Rhinolophus ferrumequinum: one gene and its partners. The protein of the gene in region 2 purifies or fractionates together with the protein of the main gene of each other region. This does not show direct contact. Links are inferred from orthologs where the notes say so. Each region holds a gene or a part of one and is shown on either strand. Other genes may lie near its edges.

Region 1 (9,335 bases), on a different chromosome or scaffold from region 2:
GTATGCACTGGCTTTGTAAGAGCTACCTGCCAACCTTCTCTGGTTAAATAGCCCAGAGGTTCATTTCTCTTGCTTGTAGGTAAGGATGCTGAATGATGCATTCGTCATCATCTGATACAGCCTCTTGCCATCAGTATGAGACTTCACTTGCCTTCTCTGGAGCCAAGAATCACTCAGTAGGTGCTGCACTGTGGATTCTTTATTACCCAAGGAGATTGACAGGTAAAGTGTGCTGATGACAATTTCTGGGGCAAAGTACGGTCTTCCTTCGTACAGCATGTGAAAGTGGTACATCGCCTCAACTAGGAACCTGGACTAGCGAAGTGAGCCAAGCAGCTCACTCCCATGAGCTAAACGACTGTGTGTAGGTCAATGCCAACAGCACAGTTGACAAGGGCAACAGGAGGTCAAGGCAGCCCACTGAGCCATGTTAAAGCCTTGTGGGGTCACATAGCTCCTCAGCCTGTGACATCTGTGACATCTGCTATGCCCTTGATGCTTGTTTGGGATCGGGATAAGGAGCCATAAGAAAAGTCTGAACACCCAGTAACACCACCCATTACAGTGACGGCCCTTCAGTGAGAAGCCCCTGAAAAGTACTCTTGGATTTTTATGACAAAAAAAGTGTCTCCCCTGAATAAATCAGATGCTTCATTTTGTCAGAAAATGGCAGCTATGGAGCTCGTGCTATTTCCCTTTCTGCCTTGGCTGTCAGGAATCTTCAAGTTAAATTTTTCCTTAGATGCAGTCACCATCTACCTCATCTCAGAGTCCTTGCCCCATTCCTTTGTATGGTTCTGGTCTTTCTGATTGTAACAATCCTTGGGGGAAGTACCAAGGGGTGGAACCTGCCAGGAGGTGTGGTGCATATCTCTTCAGATCTTTTTATGAAGTAAATTGGAAATAAATTATTCTAACCTCATGCATTGCAGTCTGCCCCACCATTGCTGCCATGTCTCTCTGAGGAGACTGCACTGGTATCCAGAAAATGCAGAGCTGGGCACAGAGCAGTTTTCCCAAACTGGCTATGGATGGTCCTCCAAGACTCAGTGGGTCCCTTGTCCCTTCAGCCATGACTCCAGAAGAGCTCAAAGCCCTTCCAAGCGTTGCCTCTAGTCCTGAGAGCAACCTTGCAGTAGATATCATTTCCCACCTTTTCGTAACAAGGAAAGGAAGGCTCAGAGAGATTCAGAGGCAAGGTTACCCAGTGAGAAGGGCCAAACCTGGGTCCCAGAATCCATTAGAGCCAGGTAGGAGCTTGTTCTCCCTACTCCTGTTCTAGGTCCCAGTCCATCCCAGGGTGCACCCTAGGCTGCAGTACAAGCCTTTAACTAGAGAAGAGTGTCTGGGGTTTGCAGTTTGGCCAGCGTGCACATACCCAAGGCTCTTGGTGCTGATGGTTGGCAGCCTGGCTTGGATTCCTGACCCTCCCTCTCTATGATCCAGGGCAACTTTCTTACCCTCTTTGTGCTGCCTTGATTTCCTCTTCTATGAAGTAGAGATAGTAATATAATACCTACTCTTCTAACTGCCCAGATGCATCAGAAAAGGGACAATCTGGTGCCAGACACCCAGTAGGTATAAGGTCAACTACCATGGGATTATGGGAATATGGGGCTCTAAGCAGTGTCTGGGTATACTGCCCTCAGCTATTCCAAAAATTCCAGTGCAGGTCTGGGCATGCCTGCCAGGCTGAAGCTGCTCAGATACCACCTGAAACCCCCGGTGAACCAGAGCATGGCCTGGGCCTGGGGCACTGCCTGTGAAATGCACATATATGTGTGTTCCTGGCTCCAGCTGCAGGTGGGTATCCAGGTGACATTCCTGCCTGATTCCTGTGCTCACAGGCATCTGCCAGGGGTACCCCTCTGGAACCTCTACACCCCTTGGAGCAGAGGTGTGGGCCTTGAGAGATTCAGGTACCAGGCTGGAGGTATCCCATGAGGTGGACCTGAGGTCACTGTTTTTGTACCCCAACCCTTCACAATTCCCACCAAGAAGGATCATAATCACTCACCAGGATGCAGAGTGTCCCCCATACCGCAGACACAACCAAGGTCTGGCTGAGAAGGAGTAAGAGGAGGAGCGGGGGGATAGTGGGAGGAGCTGGCCCAGGCTGGAGAGACCTGGCAAGACTCAGCCAGTATGACTCCAGGTCCCTCCAATCACCCTGTGAGAGGCCAAGGCGTGGCCAGAGGCTGGGCTCAGCTCTGCCTGCCCATTGGTCCAGGCTGCTCCGGATGCAGTCCAGCCCAGACTTTGGGAGAGAAAGCCTCCCAGGGCTAATGGGAGCAGGGATGTTGGCTCCTGCTCTGACCATTGGAACAAGGCTAGGAGCAGGTCAGGGCACCAGAGGTGAGGGCTGAGGAGCGTGCACGAACATGGCTGTCAAGCCTGTAAAATCTCCATGATGTCCAGTAGCCTATGCCACTGGCCTGTGCCAACTCCCCGCACAGCAGTCATGTGACACACATATAGGCATCACCCATCAGGTATGGATCACCTCAGTCATGTCACCATCACAGACAGATCAGAACTAGGTCAAGAGGGCATCACTTGACACATGCCACCAACACACATGTTCCCTGCGTATCTCCATCATGGTCAGACACAGACACAGGCATTTGTCATCAGTCATACTACCATCCTTATCACTGACACCCCTACAGGAAAGTGGCTATGAGAATGTGCTACTCTGACCCCACCTTCACCTTGTGATACCCTAGTTACACACTTGCACAGGCACAATTACACATGCATATGCCACTACACATACAGACGCATGTTTTCAGCAATGTTCACACTCCAAGAGTGGGCCCTGGCAAGGACTGCCACCTGGGAGCTTCCTGGGGTAGAAGATGGAGAAAGGGGTGTGGGAAGAAGCAGGCACCTGAGAGAAGGGAAGAGGAGCTTACTTCTAGGCCCAGTTCTAACACCTAGGCTAACAGTTAGGACACTGGAGTCTCCAATCCTGGGTTTGAATCCCCTGGGCAAATTATACAACAGCTTCCTATCTCAGTTCACTCCTTCCTAAGTGTGAGTAATAGGACCCATCTCTTGGGGGAAATTGGGAGGATTAAGCTAGTTAATTCACATAAAGCCTTTAGACAAGCCTGGTTCCGTGGTAGTGCTCCCCAGATGCCCATGGTACCTAAACAGATCTCAGCAGAGATCCACACAAGTGCACTCATAGACCCCCTCAGGCAGGCACACCCTTCTCTCCTGCCAGCCCGAGTGCAGGGAGGCACAAGGATGGGGGAGGGGAGGGGATTCTCAGGGGTAGAGGCGCAAATGGGTCGGCGAGACAAGAAGAGGCTGGAGGCGGTTCACAGAAGGTGGAGGGGCTGGGCATCTGGGATGCGGCTGTGCTCCCAGCCGGGAAGCGCCAGAGATGGGAGTTTGCTGCTATTCACGCGTCCGGCGGCCCCATTGGCTTGGCCTCCTTCGTCGGCCACGTCTGCAGCCCCCGCCCGTGGCCCGCAAGGGAGGAGCTGGGGCTGGGAGGGCGGCCCGACTGCGGGCGCCGGGGCCCGGAAAGATCGTGTCTGCGCACGCGGGGCGAAGGAGTGGTGGCGGCTGCTCAGGCTAAGAAAAGTTGGGCCCGCATCGACGTGTGCACGCACGGGCCAGGTGTCTGTGAGAGTGGACCCCGCGTGGCCGGCTCCCCTGTCCCCGCCAAGGCCCCCTCCGGGCGCGCCCTCACCGTCTGATTCTTCCCGCTCGGCGCGCTCCCCGTAGTCCACCCAACTGAGCCCCTCGAGGTTGTCATAGTCGCCGCGCCGCGGTCCGTCCACCGGCACCACGGTGAAGTGAGGCATCGCACGCACCGCTGCCCCAGCCACTGGCCCGGCTGTCTCCGCTGTCCCGGGCCGGCGCGCCCCGCCCGCCTGCATTCCTCCCCGCTGCGCTCACTTCCTCTGTTCGTCCCCCGGGCCGCCCCTCGGAGGCGGGGAGCAGGAGGGACTCGGGCCGGCTCCTCCCCGAGGGGGCTTCGGAGGAGTGAAGCCCCTCTGGAGGGAGTACCACTAGCGGCTCCAAACCCTGGGGAGGGCCAGATTCCTGTGTGACTTTGGGTGAGGGGCTACCCTCTGTGCCCCAGATGCGGTACTTGTATAATGAGGAAATGCGCTTCCACCTCTTGGGGCTGCCTGACGACTTCGTGAGGTTGGGCGTGGGGTGCACTGGCTCTGCGCTCTGTGCCTAGTAAATGCGACATTTGGGACGGAGAAGGGTCAGCAGGGCCCGGGCCAGGACCGCAGAGGCCCTCCCAGGGCCTCCCTCTATTCCTCGGTACCCTCTCGTTTCCATCTTCTGTGTCTCCCACCTCTCCCCTGCGTTCCTGGAAACCCAGTCCCAGTGAAGGTCCCTCCTTTCCCCTCACTGCAGTCTTTCCCTGGTGGAGGTGCTGTGGATTCCGGCCTCTCCCCAGAGGCTGTTGCCTCCTGGGTGGGAAGGACATACGATCCTCTCGCCCCGCCCCGTTGCCCCTTTGGTTACACTGGATTCTTTAACCAACTTCTTTCTTCTTAATTTTATCTTTTACTGTCTCACCTCCTGGGGTTCCTTTACCCAAACCGTTTAGTTGTTTGCTCTTAACATTTCTTTCACTTTCTACTTCAGTGCTTCAGATAATTTAGCCAGTTGGCTTTACTTTAACATCTAAATCTTTCTAGACTGTCTTTTCAGCGGTTTATCAGAAAACCCAAGAGCCCATTTACTTGTCTATCTCCATTTTTCTCCCTTTTGTGGCTCACAGGGCTTTAGAACATCAGAATCAGTGGTATTTTCCCAAACAACCCAGACAGTACCTTCTCCCAGCCTCCAGCTCTGCGGTGGAATCAGGAATCAGAGTCACTGGGCCTTGCAGGAGGACCTCTGAGCTGACCAGCATACTGGCCTCTACTCCAGTCATCCCAGCCAAGGCCTGTCCACTTGACCTCCTGTCCTTCACACCACCATTAGCTGCCCACAGTAGCAGCCTTCCAAATGTACTCCCTGCTCTCTCCCCCTGCTCATTGTAAGGCCACCTCTTTTGAAGAGAAAGCCCAATCTCTTCTTTTGGCGCACAAGGTCCTGCTCCATCTGGCACCTCCAACCTCTCCAGCTGCGCCTCTCCCCATCCCCCTCCCAGCCTCAACCCTTTTGGCCTCTTTCACTTCCTCAAACTCTGGGGAATTTCTGCAAATCACCTGCTGTTCACTCTGACAGAATGCCTTTTGATCTTCTACCCCCACCCTTACTTACCAGTCTCCTCTGTATGGAGAAAGTCTCAGCCTGGAGCACCACCTCCTCCCCAGAAGACTTCTCTGACACACACCCTGCCACCCCACCTTACCCTCCCCTGGATTGGGTTCTCCCGGGGCCCTTTCCCGGCATAGTACCCACTGCAGGGAGAAATGCGTTGATGAGATCTTTTACTAATGTTTTTTTTGTGCCCACTAGATTGTGGACTTTACAAGGACAAGACCCTTTTGGTCTTGTCACCTTGGCATCCTTAGTCTCTGGCCCCAGGATGCACAGCACGGTGCAGTACAAGCCTTTAAGTGGAGAAGTGTCTGGGCTTTGCAATTTGGCCAGACACATGTTCTCAGCAGTGTTCACACCCCTCCCATCCTGCCAACTCATGTGGCCGTTCTCCTCAGGGGTGGGGTCAGGTGCTGTGTGGGGGAGATAGGCCACTACAGTCCAACTGACAACCTTAGACGCTGAGGGACTCTGGCTAGGATACAATGTCCCCCATGCCATTCATTGACCAAGTAGTCGGCACCATCAGTGTACTCACAGGTGAAAATAACCTTATAGGCAAAAAGACATTTAGGAGCATAGACATTTCAAAAGAAAACATCTATCAGGAAAATTATTAGAACACATTAATCAAAAATTCAAAATTAGCCTAATAAACATATTACAAAAGATAAGGGAGAATATTAGCAATATGAAACAAGAAAATATAAAAAAAAATCAACAGAAACCTAAGGTATGAAAAATATGATTGCTTCAGTGATCTATTGCTAAATAACAAATTACCTCAAAACATAGTGGCTTAAAACGACAATCAACAAAAACATTTATTTGCTCACAAATCTGCAAGTTAAATAAAGCTTGTCTCTACTCCATATAGCATCAGTTGGGGCTGGAGCCCTTACTTCCAAGATGACTCACTCACATGACTAGCAAGTTGTTACTGGCTATAAGCAAAGAGCTCAGTGGAGATGTGGACCAGAGCACTGGGTCCTCTGCATGTGGACCTGTCCGTGGGCTGTGTGGCTTCCTCATGGTATAGTGGCTGTAGTCCGTAGGTAAACAGCCCAATAAGCAGGGAGTAGAAGCTCACAGTTTCTCTAGGCCTAGGCCTGGAAATGGGCACAGCAGCACTTCTGCTGTACTTGACTGGTCAAGCAGTTACAAAGCCCAGATTCAAGAGGGGGTGGGAAGGCATAGGACCCATCTCTGGATAGGAGAATTATGAAAGAAATATGGGACCAGGTATTAAAATGACTGTAATAATGTTTGAAACAAAGAACGTAATAGGTGATCTAATAGCAGAAAGTTATAATTGAGAATGAATTAGTAAGTTAGAAAGACCAAATTAAGGAATCCTTCCAAAAGAAGAAAGAAAAAAATAAATAAACAAATAAAAGCAACAGAAAAGAGATATAGAGGATAAAAATAGAAATTCTAATATCTGAACAACAGGAGTCCCAGAAAAAAGAGTAAAATAAAAATGGAGAAAAAGTACATGAATGATGAACCTTGAAAACATTATGCTAAATGTAAGAGGCCAGACACAAAAGGTTACATATTGTATGATACCATTTGTAAGAAATACCCAGAATACGTAAATCCACAGAGATAGAAAGCAGTGGTTAGGGGCAACGAAGGGATGGGGAGCAATTGCTTAATGGATATAGAGTTTCCTTTTAGGATGATTAATATGTTTTGGAACTAGATAAAGGTGGTGGTTGCACAACACTGTGAATGTACTAAATGCCATTGAATTTTAAAACAGTTAATTTTATGGTATATAAATTTCATTTCAATAAAAAGAAATTGCTAGAATTATAGGGAGAAACTGATAAATACACCGTAACAGTAGAAGATTTCAACACAACTGTCATGGTTACAAATAGGTCAAGAAAAAAAACAGAAGGATATAACAAATTTTAACACAATGAATGAACTTGACCTAATGGACATGTATGCAGTATATAGTTCTGTAGCCAGCAATTGGAAAATTACATATTTTTGTCAAGTATACCTGGAACACTTACAAAAATTGTTACTGGTTGTGAGGACTAATACCTCAACACAGCTTCTGCTTCCAGTCATAATGGCATAACGGCCCAAATTTACCTTTCTGTGTAAATTAAATAAAACTGTTGACCAACTGTATAAAACAATGATTTTCAGACATTAGACAATGTATGATACAGGGCTGTGATCCCAGATGAAAGAGAAATAAATGATGTGAGCCCTATGATTATACCAGCTTATTCCCTAGAGATATTTTCCAAGTCACAATGTGGGAGTAGAGGAGGGGTGGGGAACCCAGTGGTGTTGCTGAGTTGAGGAGAAAAAGAAAAATCATCATTTGGGAAGGCCAAAGCAGCTAGATTTTGCAGGGCAGAATACCATAGAGGAGAAAGCTACACAAAGAGAGACACTTGGAGATGTGTAGAGGGTCCCTGGGAATGAGCCAGAGGATTGATGTGTACACACATAAGAGAAAGCTATACAAGACCAGAAAAAGACCCACTGGAAAGAAGTAGGCTGAATAATTCTTGGAGCTCGTGTGGTTTGTGTTCCCGCCAGCTACAGTGAAAGCCCTTTTAATATATGGCACATTAGCTAGACTCCTCAGAAGGGCATTGCCTTAGTAGTCAGGCTAAATTAGCTCTAGATGAAATAACAGTTATCCTGACAAAGCATTGAAATCACCCTGTAGAGGTGGGATAGACCCACCCTTCCCAAAATTTGGTTCATACATCAAGACTAATAAGGCTACATGTACACCAAGAGGATATAGAAATGTTTATTACTCACATAAAGAGGCTTTCTGGGGAGAAGAGGATGACCTCCCAAGTCAGTCTGAAAATGGCTTCAGAGAGCTGGGAAAGGACACTGACTTAGAGCTTATGGATATTCAAATAAATAGCCAATAAGCACAGGAAAAGATGCTCAACATTATTAGTCATTAGATAAATGCAAGTCAAAACCACAGTGTAAGATTAGTGGGTGAGATACCATTTCACATCCTTTAGGTTAGCTATTATTAAAAAAAAAATAGAATATAAGTGCTGGGGAGGATGTGGAGAAATTGAAACCTTTGTACATTGCTGGGGTGGGGATGTAAAATGGTACAGCTGCTATTGAAAACAGTTTGGCGGTTTTGCAAAAAGCTAAACCTAGAATTACCATGTGATCCAGCAATTCTATCCTAGGCATAAACCCGAAGGAATTGAAAGCAGGGACTCAAACAGATACCCGTATGCCAATGTTCATTGCGTAGCCAACAGGTGGAAACAACCCAAGTCCCCATCAACAGGTGAATGGATAACCAATTGTGATCTATACGTACAAGGGAATATTATTCAGCCATAAAAAGGAATGAAGTCTGATATATGCTACAACATGGATGAATCTTGGAGACGTTACATTAAATGCAATAGCTAGATGCAGAAGGGCAAATGTTGCATAATTCCCCTTATATAAGTTAGCTAGAATAGATAAATTCACAGAATTTGAAAATAGAATACAGGTTACAGGAGGCTGAGGCAAGGGGAAATGGGGAGTTACTGCTTAATGATTACAGAGTTTGTGATTGGTGTAATGAAAAACTTTGGAAATGGTAGAGATGTTTGCACATTTGTAAATGAAATTAATGCCACTGATTTGTACACTTAAAAATGGTTAAAATCGCAATTTGTTATATAATCTTACCACAGTTTTTTAAAAATGTAATATATAATAACCATTGAACTGTATATACACTTTGAATGGGTGAATTGTATGGTATATGAATTATATCTCCATAAAGCTGTTTAAAAACAAACAAAACACCCATTATATAATTAACCAAATAATTATAATATTTAGAGGATGGTGGAAGGAGAAGGGAATAGCTAGAAAGTCTAAATTTTCAAATTTCTGAGTCAATAAATAATATCCAAAATTTATGACTAAAGAGCTGGCAGTTATATATATTATTTAGAAATACAGAGGAAAATGCCAGTAAATACTAACAGTTAAAAGTGTTTAAAGTGGTTGCTGGGAGAACAGAACTGGGGAGTGGGGAGTGTGAGGATGGTGGGGGTAGAAGATTATTCAAACTATTT
Region 2 (10,155 bases):
ACACATCCTAGCATTTAAAAATCACACTCCTTCACCCAGCTTTCTGTGCGATTGCAAGGGCCTGGAGCTGAGCTGCGCCCTCCACAACTGGATTAAAGGACGACGACTTGGAGCTGATGGGCCCTGGAGAAACACACTGTTCCCCAATATTCCCCAATAAAATTAAAAAAAAAAAATCAGCCCCCTCTTAGCTTTGAGCTGGCAGGGGAATTTGCTGTGCTCCCAGCATCCCACCAGATAAAGCTCCGAGCTGGGGAGGCTGGGCAACTACACCCTCTGACTCTGTAATTGTCATGAAAGAGATTCTATGTTTTACTTTAAAATGAATATGCTACAAATTCTTGCATTTACATTTTTTAAGGAAGAAAGCTTACTATTAAATGTCATTCTCCAGAGACTCTGCTTAGTTTATATGCTCTCAGATTAATTATAACAAGGTCACACAGGACATAGTCAAGGATTACTTGTCAAAGCGTTGTGAGCAAATTAAATTTCCTACCATAAATCAAAGTTTGCGACTCTAGATGAACATTCATAATTTTATAACAAGCATCTTAATAATTACACTTTTTCTCAAGCAAACATGCAGAATAAAACAAGCATTGCAGTTTTTATGGCCTCAAGGTTAAGGGTTACATTCCAAAGAGAATTAACAGTAAGCCTAGAGTTAAACTGGGGAAGGTTAGACAGCACTCTTGCAAATAAACTACTTAAAGTAATGATGACAAGATTAGACTAAGCAGAGAATTAATTTGAAAATTTTTCTCTTTTATATGAAGGAAAACCAGTATGAGTTTTATAAAAAGAATGCATACTTATTATAAATTATTCAAGCACTCATAGAGGTTAAAAAAATTCAAATGCCATTGCTCATAAATAATTAGCCTCTATATTAAGAGGATATCATTCTAGACATCTTTTCATGCATGTGTTCCAGAAAGACTAAATAGATATATTGAAATATTTTGATAAATATGTGATTGTTTTATATATGCTATTTGTAATGTTATTGCATTTAATTGCATTTGTATTTAAAACTTGAAAAAGAATTCCGAAGAAATCTGAAAAAATTATGCAATTTCAAATAAATGTTTTTTCACCTTAAGAGAGTATTTTTTTAAAGATCCTTCTATAATTACAAAAAGATTTTGAAAGAAAAAACACTGAGATTAGAATAATCGTTTTTATTACCTCCTGTACGTCAATTGAGGCATTATCATTTGAGTCCCTGATATGAAAGATGAGGACATTAAATCCAGAACCTTCCTTTACCCTCCCCCACAGCTTCATATATTATATTAATGTTCTTACATAAATAGTATTTGTTTTAGTTTATAACTGTAACTTGTAAAATGTTTTATATTATTTCAGATGTTTCCAAATCTTACCACAGCTTCTCCACTCCTGAAATCTTTGTTTTGATTTACAGAAATTTAACTTCAAATAAGACCTTTACCCCTCCCAGCTCATGATATTTATTTCTTTAAGTGCTTATTTTCAATAATATTTCCCCTTAAATTTTTCACTCTAACTTGTGACTTATTTTTTCTTGAATCTTTAAAATTTTCCCAAGGTTTAGAGAAATTAAAAGATTTTTATCCAATGTCACACAGCTAATGTGCAAAGTCAGGATGCTAATTTCTAAGTTCACCCTGTTGTCATCTATCCATATCCTTTACCCTCATTCACTTATACACTTGCTCATTATCCATCACACCTAGGTAGCTCTGTATCTATCCGTTACACCCATCCATCCATCAAACATCTACTTACTTCTTCATTATTCCATTTACACACATGATGTAAACTTATATACATACATATGTAGCCATTCATCTATCCAGACATTCCACCTATTCCATCTATCAATCCACCCATCATCCTTCCATTCATCTACATTTATTTACCAACATCCATCCATCCACCCATATCTAGACACATACATAGATAGATCTACTTACCCAGACATTCATCTGCCCATCTACTCACCCACAAAGCCACCCATTCACAAATCCATTCTATTTCCATTACATTCAATTTCCCATGGATGCTTTATCCTTTCTATTCATCTAGTCATCCAACCAGTTTATCAATTTACCCAATCAGTGATAACTCTGAAACCCAGTCCTTCCATAGGATAAAGGAGTGGTCTCCTCCTCACATTCTCTTCTAATCTCATTCCATTTCCCAACTATCGGGAGAACACCACAGCCTTCCATGAGCACAGTAGGAGGTCTGTGAGCTCACACCCTAATTGTCTGTCCCTCATATGAAAATTCTTGCTACAGAGACTATTATTGGTCTTATGGTATCCTATTAAACATACAGCCCTCTGTTAACGATCTCCCCAGTTACTGAAACTTCTAATCTTCTTACAGTAACCAATTCCCTCTTTATTGAAGATCCATCAGCAAAGATTACAGCCTCAGATCACAAGGCAGAAATTTGGCCCATATTTGAACTCCTTTTGACTTCTTCCATCATTGGCCTGATGTTTTTATTATGGGCCCAACCCTCCATCAATTCACTCACCGCTTAGCTCTCAAGCCATCCAGCCAGCCCTGAATGTGACCTGCCGATTTGCACACACACTAGTTTAACATTTACATTTCCCAACCCCTATTATTGTAGGTTAAACAGGCCAAAAGCTCCACTTCAATGGACCTCAGTAAGAGCTTGAGGGACAGAAGCTCAGTCTCCCACTCAGGTGAGTGGTTCACAGTTAGAATGATTGAATCAAGGCCATTTATGAAAAATACAAGTCAAAACAAATGAAGAGGAAAGAGTATGGAAATAAAAATAACGTTTAAAGAGTCTCTTGCATAGTAATTTGCAAAGTAGAGATAAGGAAACTATAAACAAACTTAGAGTTAAAAAACAGGGGAAAAAAAGGAAGAAGAAGGAAGAAGGCAATAATACTGATAAGGAGGGAAAAGAGGAGACAGAGAGAGATTATAGCAGTGCCTGACAAGTGAGTGAATTAGCCCTGTCTTCTGGTTACCTCCAAAAAAACCCAATGATAGAGAAATTCCAGAAACGAGATGGAGGAACTAATATAAAAACTGTAACCCCTGAGGGGACTAAAGCTGGGGTAAAAGTTTGGAGCAGTCTGAAGTGAGGGTGGCAGGTATAGAGGTGGGAAAAAAGGGTTGTGGAGAGATTTTAAGTTCTGTTCATTCCTCTCTCCCATATTTCCCAGGGAAGATGACTGGTGGCCTCTGTCACTGAAGGAAACAAAAATCAGCAGTGTTGGCTTGGCTTCTCAGAGTAATATCAGAGCCATGCTGAGACGAGATTCTGATAAAAACTAATGCCAGCTAAAGAGAGTCCCAGCATTTACTCTTCTACCTCCTTCTCCTCCAAACCCTCATGGATGACGGATGGCCATTTCAAGGACAATGGCTGATCTCCTCATGAATGGTGACTGACCGTTCTAAAGATCTGGTCTTCTTTTAGTGCCGTTTTGTTTTTTCTCCAAAGAATTTGAAGAGAAATCCTGGACTAGAGAAACTCCTCTGTGAAATGAAAGCAGAGGGATGTTGAGTAGCAATTCTGGAGTACGTGAGGCTCTCCATCCAGGGGCTCATCCCCACTCTCCTTCATAATCACCAGGAGGGACAAAAACAGATGTTCATCATAGCCCTTGCCCATTATCAGACTGGGCAGCTGATAACCACAGGAAAACAAGCTTACAAGGCAAAATCAGTAGAGACCTAAAGAGTAAAACCACTATAAAAATATATACAACCAGCTGAACACAATGCATACCACAGACAGATCAAGAGTAAAATAAATATAAATCTAACAAATATATTCAAAGATATGAGAGAAGGTTGATGAAATGAAGAAGGAACAAGAGGCAATAAAAATAAACCCTGTGCCTCTTCTGATAGAAGAATGGGTAATTCAATCAGGACCTCAGGAAAAACTAGTCAGTTATTTAAAAAGATACTTGAAGATATTGGAAAAAGAACAAAGTAGTAGGCCTAGATCTTGGAGAAAATGGGAATCCAGAAAGGTACAGCTTCTGCCCTGGGAGCATTTGCTAATTCTGGACAAGTCAGCTGAGAGCCTAACCAGTGTTTTAGTCCATCTCAAAGGAATGGAGTGAAAAATGAAGAGACTAGGACTCATCAAAGGAGAATGCCTCAGGTTGGGATGAGAACTCAAAAATCTGCAGCATAGTAATAAGTTTGGGCTGCAAGTAGACCTGCTCTCACAAAGATTTCAGTCCAGCTTCCAATCAGCTCAGTCTCTGAAACTGGATTAAGGAAATACCAGTTTGCTAGGATTTCCTAGTGCCTGGCATGGCCAAATGCAAATCCTCCGTGGAGAAAGATAACACCACCCTAGGCCTCAAAAACTACAAATTAAAACTACTATGAGAAATCACTACAAAACCACCAGATTATCTAAAATTAAAAGACTGACAGTATTAAGTGCGGACAAGGATGAGAAACATTGGAACTATCATATACCACTGGTGCTTGGTACAACTACTTTGGAAAGGTGAAAATATCTGCTAAATCTGAAAATATACATACTTCATGATTTAGCAATCATGAAGAAATATACATATATATTTGGCACATATATTCACCCAAAAAACATGTATAAGAATTTTCATAACACTAATATCTGTAATAACCAAACACTGGAAACTACTGAAACGTCCCTCTACGATAGATGGATAGACTGATATAGTCACACAATGGAACACTATACCGCAGTGAAGATGAACAGCTCTTAAAACAAAACAAACAAAACAAAACAAAACAAGAGACCACATGGTGGCAGGACAGTAATAGGCAGCTTTGTAAACCCTCGGTTAAATTAATCAGAATGCCACAGGATGAGTCTAAGAGTGCTTCTAACGCTGCTCCTTGTTCTTCCCTGTTCAGGACTATTCTGTGCACCTAAATGGGGCAGGTGAATTGGAGACAATGAGAAGTCACTGTCCTGTCCTCCTGGAGCTCATGGTCCAGATACACTAATTGTTAGGGCAAGGAGTGGTGTTGTCCATCCTGTGGCCCCAGGGTCAAGGAATCCAGGGCATTGTCCTGGAGATGGCCACGCTGACTTTGGGGCTTCATTGCTCCTTCTCTCCCACGGGGCAGCAAATTTAGGATAAAATGATCCGTAGGAGCGGTTGGTATTAGGTAGGTGCGCCCATTACTGGTGCCTCCTCTCTTGCGGGCCAGGTCTGCTGTAACGCCTATGGCCCCACAGAGGCGCCCAGAGAAGCGATCTGGGCCTGGGGGCCGGGGGGGTGGGGACAGAGACCACTCGGGGTGACGGTGGAGCCCTCTGCGCGCGCGCGCGCGCACACACACGCGCGCGCACACACACACACACACGCGCGCGCGCACGGTCCACCACACCCTGACACCCTGGCTCACACCCCCCGTGCCTCCCTCCCTCACACGCACACACCTCCTCTCCTTTCCTCCTCTCGGATGGCTGCGCTGTGCATCAGTGTCGCGCGAGGGGGAGGAAAGAAGTGGCATTTAGGTTTAAAGACCAGAAGCAAATGTCCCCTGATAGTTTAATGCCATTTTTCTGGATTCAAAGGAGGGGGTAGAGTGGGGAAGACAGACGTAGAGGGGCAACGAGAGACGGCCCGATTCAGGGCCTGATCCAGGCATGGCGAGGCGGCTCTCTCCCGTCCGGGTGCGGCCTCCGGGTGGGCGGACGGACGCCCCTCAGCCCCGCAGCGCCGTGGGCCCCGCATGACATCAGAGGCTGGGGAGCGCGCAGAGCGCAGGCGCCGGCGGAGGAGGGAGGCGGGAGGGGGGCGAGCGGCGCGACACCGGAGAGCGCTCCTTCGCCCCGCGCGCTGTCCCTGCGCCCCGCTCCGCCCGCACCGCTCTGTCCGCGCCGCGCTCGGGCATCCACAGCGCGCTCCTCGCTCCGCAGCTAGCGCCGCCCGCGGCAGCCCAGCCCAGCCCAGCCCAGCCTTCTTCCTCCTCCTCCTTTCCTCCTCCTCCTCCGCCGCCGCCGGACACGCAGCCGCAGGCCGGGGCCGGGACGCAGCTAGGGAGGCAGGGACGCGCGCAGCCAGCCCTTCCCCCTCCGGCTCCCGCACCGCCGGCCGCCTCCCCTTGCCCTCCTCCTCCCTCCCTGCTCCTTCGCTTCTCCTCCTCCTTTCCCGATCCCGGCTGCCAGCACCATGTCCGCAGGGGGAGATTTTGGGAACCCACTGAGAAAATTCAAGTTGGTGTTTCTGGGGGAGCAGAGCGGTAAGTACCTCGCTTATTCTCATGGCTTGGCGCCGAGTCGACCCCCTTCGCCAAATCATCCACCCCCTGGGGGCCCCCGGCCCTGGCTCAGAAAGGTCCCTCCGTGCCGGGGTAGAGAGGAGGGATGGGCATGTGGAGGTCGGGGCCGGCTCGAGCGGGGCCGGGGAGGGGAGGGGAGAGGCCAAGGGTAAGGACCGAGAAGGCTCTGGGGCCAGAGGTGGGGATGCGGGGGGATCTGGGGTGCGGAGGCAGGTGCGGCGGGTCGGGGAGGTTGGAGGGCGGCGGCTCGCTCGGCGGCGCAGGCCGAGGCGTGAAGGCGCCGGGCTCGCTGGCTCACTCGCACTGCGGCACCGGCTGCGGGCGACCGCGCAGGTGGCGGGGCGCTGGCGGGTGTCGAGGGGAGGACAGACGCCCCTCTTTGGAGAACAAGGTGCGGCCGGTGTCAGGCCGCCCCCCACCCCAATGCACCGGAGAGGTTCCCTGCGGACCCTGCCTGCAACCATGCGTAATTGCTGGCACGTCCAGGCCCTGGGGCAGACGGCCGCGGTTGGGAGCGGGGTGGTAAGACGGACACCTGTCTCTTCTGGAAGGAGCGAATCCCGGCTGTGGGGGGAACAGGGCTCTTATTCCCGGTGTTACATACCCTGGCTACTTCCCTGGGCACAGAAGGTTCTAGACCCGCTGCCCTTCACCGGCATGTGTTAGCCTCGTTGGGGCTCGGGGTCAGGATGATGACAGCGAGGATTCCCCAACTGAGGCAGATTTGGGGGATGGTACAGGAGCGCCTCGCACCAAGAGGCCACCGTGAAGCCTGGCGCTGGACAGAGAAAGGACCAGGTGACACGCCCTGCTTCGCTTCCCAGCACCCCTCCCTAGAGCACGTGGGCAGCGGTTCTTCCCATCCCCACCTCCCAGCGCAAGGCCCTTCTTGGGGGAGGGGAGGTCATCGTGGCAGCCCGCCAGGGACGGGGGGAGGGGGAGAGAAGCGGCTTCCCAGACGTTAGAAGCCTCCCCTGGGAAAACATCTGAAACCCAGGCTGGTCCCAAGGTGGGAAGACCAGATTGAAGAGCATGGACCCCTGTGACACCTGTAGGAAGGAATGTTTCTCAGAGCATTCCTTCAGAGACATCTCACCCTGGGGCTGCAGGGAGACAAGTGGGCCTTGCCCACAGCTGCTCAGGGAGAAGGCATTCCCTTGGGGCAGGTCTCCCAGCTGTAGCTCTGCAGACCAGTCCAGTGCAGAGGGTGTGGTGCCTTTCTGTACAAGGGGCCAAGACACAGGCAACCTTGGGAGAAGTGGGTTGGCTCAGGGAACGGTGCTGCTGTGGTGTGTGTACATGTGGGTTGTGGAGCTCACATGGCCGTCTCCTGTCTGCTGCTCATCTTCTGGAATGGATAGAGCAGAGGAGGGTATCAGAAGGTGGTCAGGCCTAACATGGTGATGGGTCTTGGGGCGAAGCTGGGCATTTCAGAACAAGACCAAATCAGCCAGCCAGCCCTGTGTCCTGGACTCTGAGTGTGATCTTAACAGATTCCAGTTTCAAAGCTCACTCTTCCCCATGTGTCGCAGGATTTCAGGGGTGTTCACGTACGTCCCAGTGCTGGTCTCTCTGGGCCTGGAGCCCTGGGAGAGAACTCCGCAGGGCTCAGGCAGCCTCGGAGTTCAATTCCTAGTGTGTTGCCTTGAGTAGATTTCTACGCTTTGCTGAGCTTCAGCTTATGTCTCTGTGAAATGGTTACTTGTGGGTAGTTCTCTTACCCCCTCGTGTTTCCCCAGTGACTCTCAAAGGTGCCTGGACCCTGGTAGGTTCTCAACAAACGTGTTTATTCTGAGTCTGAACGTGCTTCAGTAAAGGGCCAGGGCTTGGATGAGGAGGATGTCTGGTGAGTTTGAGTGAAAACTCTGGGCTCCTTCAGAATCCCTGACGGGCTGAGGCTCCTGCTGAGCCGTGCAAACCCCCTTTGCTTCTAAAATCACAGAAATGAGAGCTTAGACCTCAGAGATGGAGGCCCCACCTCCCCGGCGTGTTTAGATGGGAAGTCTGAGCCCCAGGGATGGGAGGCCTGGCCAGGAGGCCCACTGTGAGTTGTTAACACTTCTGGGGCTGCAAAACCCACATCTCCTCTTCCCAGTGACCCACATGTCCTTGGAAAATAAGATGTGAATGAGGAAGTCCAGAATTGGGGACCCTTCCTGAGAGGGGGTGAGGGTTCCCACTTTCTGGCCAGGCTTGGGGCTGAGTTGAGTGACCTGGGGGGAACGCTGGACTCGGTGTTTTGGGGCAGGTTTTGCTGATCCTTCGTCACTAGGGATGAAAGGCTCTGCCGTCAATGTGATTGGCTATCGACCACTCTGTTCCCTCCTGACAGGGAGTCCTAGGCCTTGAAAAGCCTCCTCCCACTTGGGTGTGTCATCAGTGGGTTGTTTAGCTTAGATTTTATAGAGCTTTCAGGGTCCCTGAGTTTGGTAGGGACTTGTGCATCTCTGAGTTTGGTAGGACAGGGGAATTGCCACCGCAGCCACTGCTTCCATCTTGCCTGCACAGTTTTGCATGTGTTGGTCCTTTGTGCCAGCATCCTGTGCAGCCTGTGTGGAGTGGAGGGAGCCCCTGAGACCTGGCCCTCACGCCCACCCTGACTCTCCCTCCCTCACCTTCTGTACGGAGTGGACTTGGGCCAGCTGAGTTTGATGGAGCCCTCTAGAGCATCTGGGCTTGCCTACGTGAGCTGAGCCTGATGGAAAGGGGTCAGGGGAAGGGGCTGGAAGGATGTGGCCCTCTCTTGTTTCCTGTGCCTGGACAGCTGGATTCCAGAAAGGAGTACCTGGCCTGGAACACAATGATGAGGAGAAGTATCAGGCCTTCAAAATGCCCAGGTCCTGGTTTGAGTGAGAAGCCCTGGAGAGAACACCTGCAGCTCCTGAGAGAGCTCTCCCTCCTGGCGCAGAATGCCTGCTGCCCCCTGGACCATGAAATGCAGGCTGCTGACAGTGTCCGCCCGGCAAGGGATAGGATTGTGGGGACCCAGGATGAGAGATTTCCTTGCAGTAGGAAGACTGCAGTCCTGCTAGTGCTCAGACGGCTCCCTGGGCCTGCTGGTCGTGCCCGTGTTCTCATGGCAGTGGTGGGGGACGCAGGGGGTGAGGCACACCTGTTCTGACTGTGGCACTTGGTGGCATCCAAAGGAGACAGGCACTAGCAGGTGTCTAAGGAAGGAGACTGGGCCTGCAGGACACACATCTTCCTCCTAAATTCTAGTGGCATTGTGAGGGGTTCAGGGCATCTCGGTGTGTGTAGTGAGGAGAGGGGATGTGGGCATATCTGCTGTCCTCTGGCCTCTTCTGATCTTCCTTCCCTGAGACTCCTGCAGCTGAAGCCGGAAGACTGATGGACGTAAGAAGTTCAGGCTGCTTTCCCAGGCTCAGGCCAGGAGGCCAGCTGCTCCCTCTGACCGGACACCTCCGGCCCCTTGCAGTTGTGCTGCGACAGGTGCCATCCACGTCGTGCACAATGTGGACGGTGTTCCTGGGGTTGCACAACATGGTGACCCTGTGTGCAGCGGCCACTTGGTCCTGGAGTCATTTGTTCACTCCCCCCTCTCACCCTCCCCCGTGTCCCTCTCTCTTCCTTCCTCCGTCCATCATTCATTTATTTATTTAGTCGGATCTTTGAGAGTATCTCTGCCTCATGGAACTTATGGTCCCCTGGGGAATACAGACATTTGTGGGTATAATTACAGTAAAGGGCTGTGAGAGCTGTGACAGCTACTCTGGAAGCGCATAGAGGAAGAGATGCTTCTGTAGGGAACGGGCTGGTACTCCTTTGGGATGCGTATAAGGAGTAGGTCTTGGATGGGGCCCGCCCTCTCCAGAGAACTTTGTCTGTTCTTCTTCCTGCTCTGGAGAAAAAGTGGATG
Region 3 (10,093 bases), on a different chromosome or scaffold from region 2:
TAGAACAAGCTCCAATTACCAAAAGAAGACCCAGAATCCTGGGACTTCCACTTGAACCCTCTCTGTGCCACACATACCACTGCCCCTGCCACACAAACACATGTTGAACGGGGTCCCTCTTCCAGAGAAGCAAGTTGCTAACTGCCATCCCTTCTCTATACTCAGCACTTTCCTCTGAGGTACTTAGATCTGCATCCCAGAGGGCCCTCTTACTTCCCCAACCCCCAGTCTTTTTTTTCCCAACCCCCAGTCTTCATGGCACAAACTTATTTCCCAGCCTCTCCAAGTGTGATTGTTTTTTTGGTAGCATCTATATTCTCATGTCCCTCTAGGTCAGTACAAAGACCCCTATTGTCCCCAGGTAAAGTGTCAAATTTGAATCCCCAAGGATGTGGCAGGGGGTGGGGTACCCTCTGCATCACCTGCAGACTTACCTCCATCTGAAGTCATCCTCTCAGGTTTGGACACTAGCTGTGGCTGTCTGGAAGCCTCCAGAATGAGACAGTCAGGTTGAGGACCCAGAGAGTAACCTGGCTCCAGTAGATACACAGGGATCCAAGGAGGAGAGGATAAAGATCAGATCAAAACAGAACTGGAATCTAGAACTCAAGGAAGTCTGCAGTGGGGGAGGGGATAGGGGAATGTGGGGCTGGGGTAGGGAGATATTCGACAGCAGGCTCTGGTAAATTGGCAGTAACCAGGAATTCCCACCAAACCAGAGTTTGGCAACACAATTGTTGTCTACCTCTTTAGGGCAATTTGTAAATTTTCAGATTCCCAACATTATAGTTTTATTAGTACATCTCCGTTCCCTACACAATTCTTCACCAGTATATTTAGTTTTGTGCCCTTAAATCCCACCCAGTTCTGTAACTGACTTCCTATTAATAGAAGGTTGTGGCAGACCCTTGATTTAATTCAATGTTCGCTGTATTTTCTGAACCAAATTCAGAACACACAGTCTGTGTACTTAAGGATCTGGAGAACGGAGTGCTTGAAATTAGGATTGTCTGGGAAGACCCAGGGTGTTTGGTTGCTGTATGCATATCATTTCCTTGGAAAGCTGTCCTGCAGTTCCCAAATAGTCCACCATCAGCTCTGCAGTCCACAGAAGGTTTAGCCTTAACCCTTGGTTGAAAAGCCCCATTCTATCAAAGACAGGCATTCAACCTAAAATTTCAAGGCCAAAAAGTCCTTTTGTTTGTTAAATTATTTTTGTTTAAAAATTTTATTAAATAATTTTAATTTTTAAAGTGGGAACTACATTAGCATGGGTCTAAAGTAAAACTATACAAAACAGTGTACAGCGAGTCTCCCTCTCCCACTCTTTTCCCCTGGAACCAAGTTCTTTGTTCCCAAAGAAACCAATATTATGTTCCTGTGAATCCTTGCAGAGATATTTTATGCACTGCAAGTAAACACGTATTATCATTACGTTTTACGTTTCTTTAAAAAAATTTTTTTTTCAGGTTTCCTGGTTATAACATTAATGTATATTCCAATGTTTTTGACATTATAAATAATACTGCAAAGGTCATCTTTGTAATATTACCTGGGCTCCAGTTTTCATTTCTTTAAACTAGAGTCCTATAAGGAGAATTTCTACACGTTCTTTAAAACATTCGAAATAACCCCTAGAAGGTACATCTTATTATGCTATTATTAGCTACTCACCACTATAAGCGCTGAGTTTGTGGTAGAGAGACCTGAGTTTGAATCTTGGTTCGATCACTAAAACATACTTCACCAGTTTCATAAAACAACTTCACGCTCTCTTTGCTGTGCAGAATATTAAATACCCATCATGCACTCTTTACCGCCAATATTTTGAAATAGGGCCGGAGAACCGGATAGAAAAAGAGGGGAGGGAAGAAAAACCTTCCCTCTTCCATAAGGTAAAGGGGCTCTGAATCCTGGAGCTCTTTGTTTCTCAACGCACTATAAATCCACTGCCCCTGATATGGGTGTGCATCTTGCGATAAAGACAGGATTCTATTCACTAATGTTCAACTCATATCCATCCCTATCCCCCTCTAACGCCTAGCAGTGTCTGGCACACAGTGGGCACCCTCCATGTGTTTTAGAAGGCCTACAAAGTTGCAACTGGGCACCAAAGTCTACAAGGTTGCAACTGGATTGCAACTGGGCCAAGTCCTGCACTAGTGCGCCCCCTTCTGCCCAGCTGGAAAAAAGCCTAAAATGAACTACATTTCCCAGCATACCTTGAGAGAGACACTTCCGGCTACACAGGAAGGAAGTTGGCAAACACGAGAGACTGTTAGACTGAGCTGCTGACGGAATTCGAGCTTCTGTCTTCATCGTGGTCATGTTTCTCCAGTATTACCTCAATGAACAGGGAGAGCGGGTCTATACCCTGAAGGTAAGAAAAGGAAACATGTAAATAGGCATGGCGAAAAGTGGAGGTGGGTGGAGCGGTTGAGACCAGCCGCGGAGTTGCCTAGCTGAGTGGGGGGAGTTGGAAAGCCCAGAAGCCAGGCGTGGTAAGGTAGTAGCTGGAGTGTATGAGTGCTACTTTGACCGTCGCGTCTTCTGTCTTCCTTATGATCATTTTCCGCGCGTCCCCCTCCCCATCCCAGCCTCCATCTCCTTTATGACGCCAGTGATTGAGTTTTCTCACCACACCTGTACTGAGATTATGTTCTCTCTTCCTGGAGCAGAAGTTTGACCCCACGGGACAACAGACCTGCTCGGCCCATCCTGCTCGGTTCTCCCCAGACGACAAATACTCTCGACACCGAATCACCATCAAGAAACGTTTCAAGGTGCTGATGACCCAGCAACCGCGCCCTGTCCTCTGAGGGTCCCTTAATTTCATGCCGCCTGCTACCCCTCTGAGACTTTCCGAACCCAAGCGCTGCAATCTGTGAGCCTTGATGCCTTGTTACCACCCTTTCTTTTTGGAATCTGGTGTCAACATTACCTTTGATCATGTTTGTGCGAGGCAATCATGGTAGCATACACCTTAAAGGGAACAAGTTTGAATCTTCTTTTCCTGTTTTGACATACTGTCTGGTTATTAAAATGATTTGAAAGAGCTCTTATTTTGTATGTTGTGGGAAGAAGGACGTGGTTTAAAAAAACAAAAAACGAAGAGAGATGGGAGGGAAGTGTACCCAGGGGCACAACAATACTTGGAAGAAAATCCTAAGTCGTTGCTGTAGCAGGAGTAGTGCTGTATTAGTGACAGGAGGGTGTTGGGGAAGGGAAAGAAAGGTTGAGAAAGATTTACATAATTGTCAGCATTTACAGAAAAATACCCCTGTTATCATTCCCCTTGAAGTGACATTTTGACTTAAAATGGAAGAGTTGCTTGAAAATAATAGCAACCATATTGTAGAGGGAAAGCAGTGAATTGGAAGTCAGGAGACCAAGATGCGCTCCTCTCTGCATAACTTTAAGAAAGTCACTTAACCTATTTAGTCCCAATTTTTTCTTCATTTCTAAGTTCTCTTCCAACTCTATAACAGATTGGGTTCAGTGGCGGATATATATCCACAGTGTTGTTCCACCATTATGAATATGAATGCCTCTGTGCATATTTACTGCTCCTCTGGAAATAGTCGCAGTCTTTTAATTCTCTCCATCAAGGAATTGTCTTACATACACCTAACTTTATATTCTCTCTGGGAGCTAGCTGCTATGTGGAACTCTACGTGGATCTGAATTTAAAAGATGAGGTATGAGAGATTGAAGTGGAGATTTTGTTTTTCAAGCTATCGTTGGTGGTTAATAACAAAAGAAACCTGGGAGATTTTTAAGGATTTGAGCTTCTGTCAAAGGGCAACCATAAATTTTTAATTCAATTGCTTTATATTAGAGGGATGATGAGGCAAAATATTGTATACTGGCTGGCATTCAAGAAATGCTAGCTTGCTTTTACCTCACCTTGTCAAGTTAATCCGCTCATGTCCCCAATCATCTCATTCATGGCTTTTGACATTGGATTTGAATGTTTGCTTAATGCCACAGATTTAAGAATTGCTTTGTGGAGATTGTGTTCTAATTTTACAATCTTCTTTTTCTACTGCATCAAGATTCTAGACTCCAGAAGCAGATGTAACTTATCTCAGCACAAATTTGATTTATCCAGACTGGCCCTGCAAAGGGATAGATATGTTTCTCTTGGAATCTGATGTCTGACCATCCCAGCAGAGAAGTTCAGGATAGTTGTTGACTGCTGAGAAAAAAAGAAAAAATATCTAAACTTGGGTCACAGTTAATAGAAGACATGATTTTCAAGTCAATTATTTACTTAAACATATGGGAATGGTGAAACAAAATATTTGTTTCCTGTCAATAATTTTTTATTTCTTAGCCTAGTCACTTACAGGTTCTTAGCATTGGATCTGAGGGATTTTAAAGACTTTTCTTGCCCCATTAAGGGGATAATGATTGAAGAAATATTAAAAATTCTGCAAATGGCTAGAAAAAGCAGCTGCTGAGCAGATGTTTCCTGGCATTGTTGTCAGTTTTGAGTCAAACTCATAAAAATTCAGAAGAAAAAGAAAAAGGATCTGCTCTGGAAGTTTCTTAAGCACCAAAATCAATTAATCAAATCTGCTACCAGTATTTTTTAATGTTGACAGTAATTCTGTCCTTATAATTTACTCCTCCTCCCCAAAGAAAGATTAGCTTTGTTCCATGCTACATTCTGTGTAGACTGAAATGAGAAGACTAACATGGAAATATTCTGAATTGAATTTGAAAAGAAAGGCAAACTGGTTTGAATATACCAAGGATTTTTCCTTGGTACCCTAGGTATTAACATTTGAGACGTGCTCAGAAATGGGAGTCTTAAGAGTTATACTATTAGGTATTAGGTAGTATATATAAGTTAATGAAAACACTCTGTGTATGAAGCAAAATTGGTTGTAGAAAGCCAGCATTTCTTTGTAAGGGGAAAGTCTTTGAGATTTGAATGAACAGGCCTGCCTGAGGAAAAAAACATCCCTCAGGGAGGTGACTTTCTTGCTGCCTCAAGGTAGGAAACGGAGCCTTATTGGGCGAGGGTCTGAGTTCTTTAGGATGGAAACTTATTTTCTCCTGAAATTAATATCTCCACGCAATTACCGTAAACTTACACTGTAAGAAAAACAACAACAACAAACTGAGCCTGAATTAATAGGCACAAGCATTATAAAGCACCTAGTTTTGAGGGGGTTTACATTTTAAGTGGAGATTATTTCTCATTTTGTTATGTGGATCTTTTTAACCAGAGTGTGGACTTTGTGTGTCATTTGATAAAAGGGAATTTCCTGGTTCAGGTCTTAAACACAGTTCTGATTTTATTACTAAGGATGATGCTTAAAACATTTCCATTGGTGTAGAGGAAGGACACAGGCAAAGCCAGGGCCCAGATTGTTAAATTTAAATGTCATGATCAAAGCTATAGGAAATAACTTTCAAACGAAACACTGAGGAGCCAAAATTCATTGAACATGTCTATTTGTGCATTAAATGAACATGGTAAGAAAAATACTCTGGTGGCAGTAGTACGGAAAACACTGGGAATGGAGTCAAGAGAAAGTATTTTCTCTAGGTCTAAAATTAAAGATATTTTCGTTAACGGAATTTTCAGTCTGAGTAGAAAGTGAACATAGGATTTTTCCCCCCAGCTTTATTGAGATACAGTTGACAAAATGGTACATATTTAAGGTGTACAACGTGATTTAATAGATATATAATATACATTGTGAAAGACAGCATTTTTTTAAGGACTGGAAAAGGGGGCAAAATGCATAAACTTGAGGATACAATGCTTTAGAAGAGACCTCTACATAAAAATTCCAATAAGTGTCATACCTAGATATATGGTATTGGGAGGTTTGTGATTTTTAAAGAAATTATGAATGGTATTTTCGGAGATGCTTTTATTAAAGAAGAGAGGGTTTTTGAGGTTCTGAGGCAAGGGGCATTGCCTGCTCCCTGAGATGCCTCCAGAGTTGGTGCGAGAGGGCTGAACCAAGAAGGAAAAGGATTTGTTTTTTCTAGTGTACGTATTAATAGCTCAGTCTTCTATACCCAACTACAATTCCCATCGTGCTCCGGTCCTCCCACGTTAGGCCCCGCCCCTCGCCCCCCAGTCCCGCTGCGACTCAGGCGAGCGCATGCGTGCATCCCTCTCCGTCCGATAGCGGGCGGCAGAGGCTGGGCGGGGCTCCCGGCGCTCACGGGACGGTGCCGCCCTCCGATCGCTACACCGCTTCTCTTCGGACCGTTAACCTCGAATGAGGAACAAGCCGGGAGGGAAGGGAGGGGCTGCGGCGGCGCGGGCAAAGCCCGCCGGGCCCGGGGCCGGGAACGGCGAGGTCACGTAACGGCTACTCTGGCGTCTGGCCAGGGAAGGGGCGCCCTCCCCGGCAGCCAGAGCCCGCCTGCGCTTGCTGCGGCTCGGAAACAGTTACCAGCTTGTAAACAACAGCTGCGCGCGCACCCCGCATCAGCTGGCGCCGGGATCCCGCACCTGCGAAGTCCGTCCCTCAGCCGCGCCGCCCACTCCTAATCAGCCAGGGCCAGCCCGCGAGGCCGTCTCCTCTTCTGCTAGGACCCGAAGGAAGAACCTCGAGGGGCTAACCAGTACCAGCGACCTGGTAGGGGAGAAAGCGTCTCCGGTCAAAGGGTTGACCGGTCCTGTCAAACGCAGGAGAAACCCAGAAAGCGGATCGTGGCTTCAGTGGAGTAGCAACGACCTGCCACGACCCTGAACTGCAGTCCGAGTTGTCGCGATCCGCTAGCCGCCTCCTCCCAGATCCCAGGGACCTTTCTGCCAGAAAACCAGGCGGGCGGGCCACCCCCGTAGACCTCTCGGAGACAGGAATCTGCTCTGCCCCTGTATCCTCCTCTGCTCACCCTTCTGTCCTCATTCTCCGTACATTAGTGTGGGATATTTTTCTCGTTATGCATGCGCACCTCTCCCACAAGATCAAAGTGGATTATCGGCCTCAAAAACCTCGGGTGGCTGTACACACACCTCCCAGCCAGACCTGTGAGGTATTCACCTGATATACAACAGGTGGCCGGGTGTACACCGTTTCGCAATCTGATCTGCGCTATATTTGCATGATAAGGGTGGGCCCGCGCGCACTTTGCTCAACTAGAACCGTGGGACATTTACTAGATAAAGGACTAACTACCTCGGCCGAAACCGGGGGGTCGAGAGGAGAAAGGCGAACTCGTAAGACCATGGCACTGAGCCCGCGGCCCTGGATCAGGAGAGATAGCTAGAAAGCTCTTCATTCTGAAGGAACGAAGTTACAGGAGATAGGCACCGTTTTGTTTTGTTTTTTCTTAAATATTTTTCAGCTACTGGTAGTGCACTCTCTAGGACACTGCTTGAATTCTGAATATAAGGATTCTTATTTGGGGCTGTTTGTGTGGTGTAAATCAAGATAATTAAGTTTTTTTTAAGTTTTCTATTTTTGCGATCAAAAGCAGCTAGCGTAGGAGGAAAGATTTTGCGGGGTTTTTCTTTGCCCTTATAAAGGAAAAGAAAAATGCATCCTCCAGAAACCACCACCAAGATGGCTTCTGTTCGGTTCATGGTGACACCAACAAAGATCGATGATATTCCAGGGATGTCAGACACCAGCCCGGACCTCAGCTCCCGATCCAGTTCCCGGGTAAGGTTTAGCTCCCGGGAAAGTGTGCCTGAAACAAGCCGTAGTGAGCCAATGAGTGAGATGTCTGGAGCCACCACTTCACTGGCCACTGTTGCACTGGATCCAGCCAGTGACAGGACTTCTAACCCCCAGGATGTTACAGAGGGTAAGTAGAAACACAGATGACAGGATACTTTTATTGCTGGCTTATTTATGGAGGATGACTGTCTTCTGGGAGATCATTTTTCTATTATACAATAATCATCAGGAACCAATGTACCTCTTTTTGAGATCCTTAGGAATCCTTTGGAAGAATGATTAGCATAGTGGCTCTCTGCAATAGTCATTTGGCATGTGGGAAGGTATGTGGCAAGAAGAAAAGTAGATGTCTAATTTTACTTGATCATTTTTGTCTCCTTAGAACTCAAATGAGTGTTTTCGTTAAGGATGAACGGCAAATAATTTAATAGTTTTTTGGCACAGAATCCTAAATTGTAAAATTTAGTGCAGAGCTAGCTTTGGGGCTCTAATTAGTACAGTCAGCTTTGAAGGCCACTTACAAGTAGTTATTGATCATATCTTAGTTACTGGCTTTTCTACAAAGACTTCAGATACTGTATCACAAAATTCTTTTTAAAAATTTGTATTTTACGAAGAATGGTTCATGCAGCTAAGTTCATTCTGGGTGAGTCTGGGTAGATCTAGTGTGCTGTCCTGTTGAATGGAGAAATTCTAAAGAGGCTTTTAGGGCCTGTTTCCTACATGATATTTTTACTTTGAACTATAAATGGTATGTATTGAGTATTGAGCCTTTGTAGTCAGAAAGTAACACACAAGTCACTTCTGACTTAGATGGACCACTGCAGACTTTAATTTCCTGAACCAGTTTGTGTCAGCTGGCTTGGAAGTTTTCATTGGATTTACTAGGAAGAGGAGATGGAAGAGAGAGATGAATAAAGTGGAGAGATCATAACATTTTTTGGACTCTAAAGTAGAAAAGTTTGAGAAATGCTGTACTGCTTTATATGTTTAGTTTTGCAGTCTTTATATTTGGCTCTGTTTTCTAGCTAATGTAGATGTATGTCTGCTAATGAAAATTCTCATAAGAATCTTAAAGACTCCTAAAAATGATATTCTACCCAAATTTGAGAACCATAGCTTCAGCCACTGACTTGTGAAAGCGATTTTCCGGTGTCAGGAAATACTGTTCCTCCTAACTTAAAGGGCGCAGGAAACCAGAATGATTTTAGTTCCTTGTTTCTGTTTGTATTTTTTAATGTCTGGAGATAAAGTAGATTTGGTAAAGTTTATAGTCCTCTAGAATTCACTTATCCTCGACTAAACATTTTTTAATGGAGGTATTATAGATTGGTTCCTGGACTTAACCAACTTTTTTTTTTGGTTTTAATTTTTTTTTACAATTTATTTATTTTGACATTCGATATTGTATATTAATTTAAGGTGTACAGTATAGTGGTTAGACATTTATATAATTTAAGAAGTGGTCCCCTGACTAGACTAGTACCCAAGGAATTAACTATTTTCAATTTGACAAACTTTACACTGTGTACCACAGTGTTAAAATTACGTTATGGAATGAAAATAATTTATCACTTTTTTCCTCCAAATTGTAAATTGCAGTTTTAGTTTTTATTTATTATACTGTATTTAGGTTGTAAAAATACCAGGTAAAGACTGTGTTAATTTTTTTTACTGCTGTAATTGTCATTAGGTAATTTATAGTTAAGTATTGTGAGGCTTGTGACTTATATGTTATGGAATTGTATTTGTATTCTGTTTTTAAAAGTGGGCTTATTTCCATAATGTGGTAGCCGTGCAGAACAGGATCCTTGCCCAGGCCACTATCTTACCTGTAAGCATTCTTTACAGTCCAGAATGCTATCGTTTAATACTATAGGGGTAAAATAAAACAGGGGACATATCTAGGTGAAATATATGCTGTTTAGGTGGATACAGAAAGCTTGGCTCTCTAACACATTCCTTAATGTTTAAATACTCTCTGGTACTAGATGAAAGGGAAGTTAACTATCCAGCCATTACATCACATTTCCCCCCCATACTCTCAGGAAACTAGTTTCCTACTTTCCCAATGAACTACTTTTTCTTTTAAAAAAAATTTCTTATGATGACTGGTATCCTGTGAAATATTTTCTCCACCATTAGAGGGAACTGGTTAGAAAAATAATTATTTCATCTTCAGCCTCATAATATGCGGATGCCCTCATTACACATAGATCTTCAAAAGAAAATCAAGGACATATCTTAATCTACATTTGTTTCTGGACTGGAGTTAGTAGAGGAAAACAGCTAATTCCTTTTCTACAGTTGACTCTATCCTTAAGCTCATAGTGTATTTCAGAATTGTGTTTGCTATTTTAATATTTAGAATTCTGTGACTGTTTTTTGGGGGGCCTTTCTACATTTTTCTGTGATTGTAATATTGGTATGATTAT

The links.
Region 1: the proteins of RAB6B (region 2) and SLC12A4 purify together in Homo sapiens (co-immunoprecipitation; 3 studies listed by BioGRID and IntAct, with this or other methods). This does not show direct contact. The link is inferred for Rhinolophus ferrumequinum from reciprocal best matches to the Homo sapiens genes RAB6B and SLC12A4.
Region 3: the proteins of RAB6B (region 2) and SLC12A6 purify together in Homo sapiens (affinity purification with mass spectrometry; 4 studies listed by BioGRID and IntAct, with this or other methods). This does not show direct contact. The link is inferred for Rhinolophus ferrumequinum from reciprocal best matches to the Homo sapiens genes RAB6B and SLC12A6.

The regions. Positions count from the first base shown.
Region 1 is NC_046298.1:17,504,501-17,513,835, forward strand, and holds the start of SLC12A4 (solute carrier family 12 member 4), read right to left. Parts: upstream 3,884-9,335; 5' UTR 3,819-3,883; coding exon 3,704-3,818; intron 1-3,703. UniProt on the Homo sapiens protein: Mediates electroneutral potassium-chloride cotransport when activated by cell swelling. May contribute to cell volume homeostasis in single cells. May be involved in the regulation of basolateral Cl(-) exit in NaCl absorbing epithelia.
Region 2 is NC_046300.1:34,132,332-34,142,486, reverse strand, and holds the start of RAB6B (ras-related protein Rab-6B), read left to right. Parts: upstream 1-5,768; 5' UTR 5,769-6,169; coding exon 6,170-6,239; intron 6,240-10,155. UniProt on the Homo sapiens protein: The small GTPases Rab are key regulators of intracellular membrane trafficking, from the formation of transport vesicles to their fusion with membranes. Rabs cycle between active GTP-bound and inactive GDP-bound states.
Region 3 is NC_046289.1:70,954,735-70,964,827, reverse strand, and holds the start of SLC12A6 (solute carrier family 12 member 6), read left to right. Parts: upstream 1-6,145; 5' UTR 6,146-7,514; coding exon 7,515-7,785; intron 7,786-10,093. Other genes in the region: NUTM1 (NUT family member 1), read right to left, coding at 435-450; NOP10 (H/ACA ribonucleoprotein complex subunit 3), read left to right, coding at 2,327-2,380, 2,679-2,819.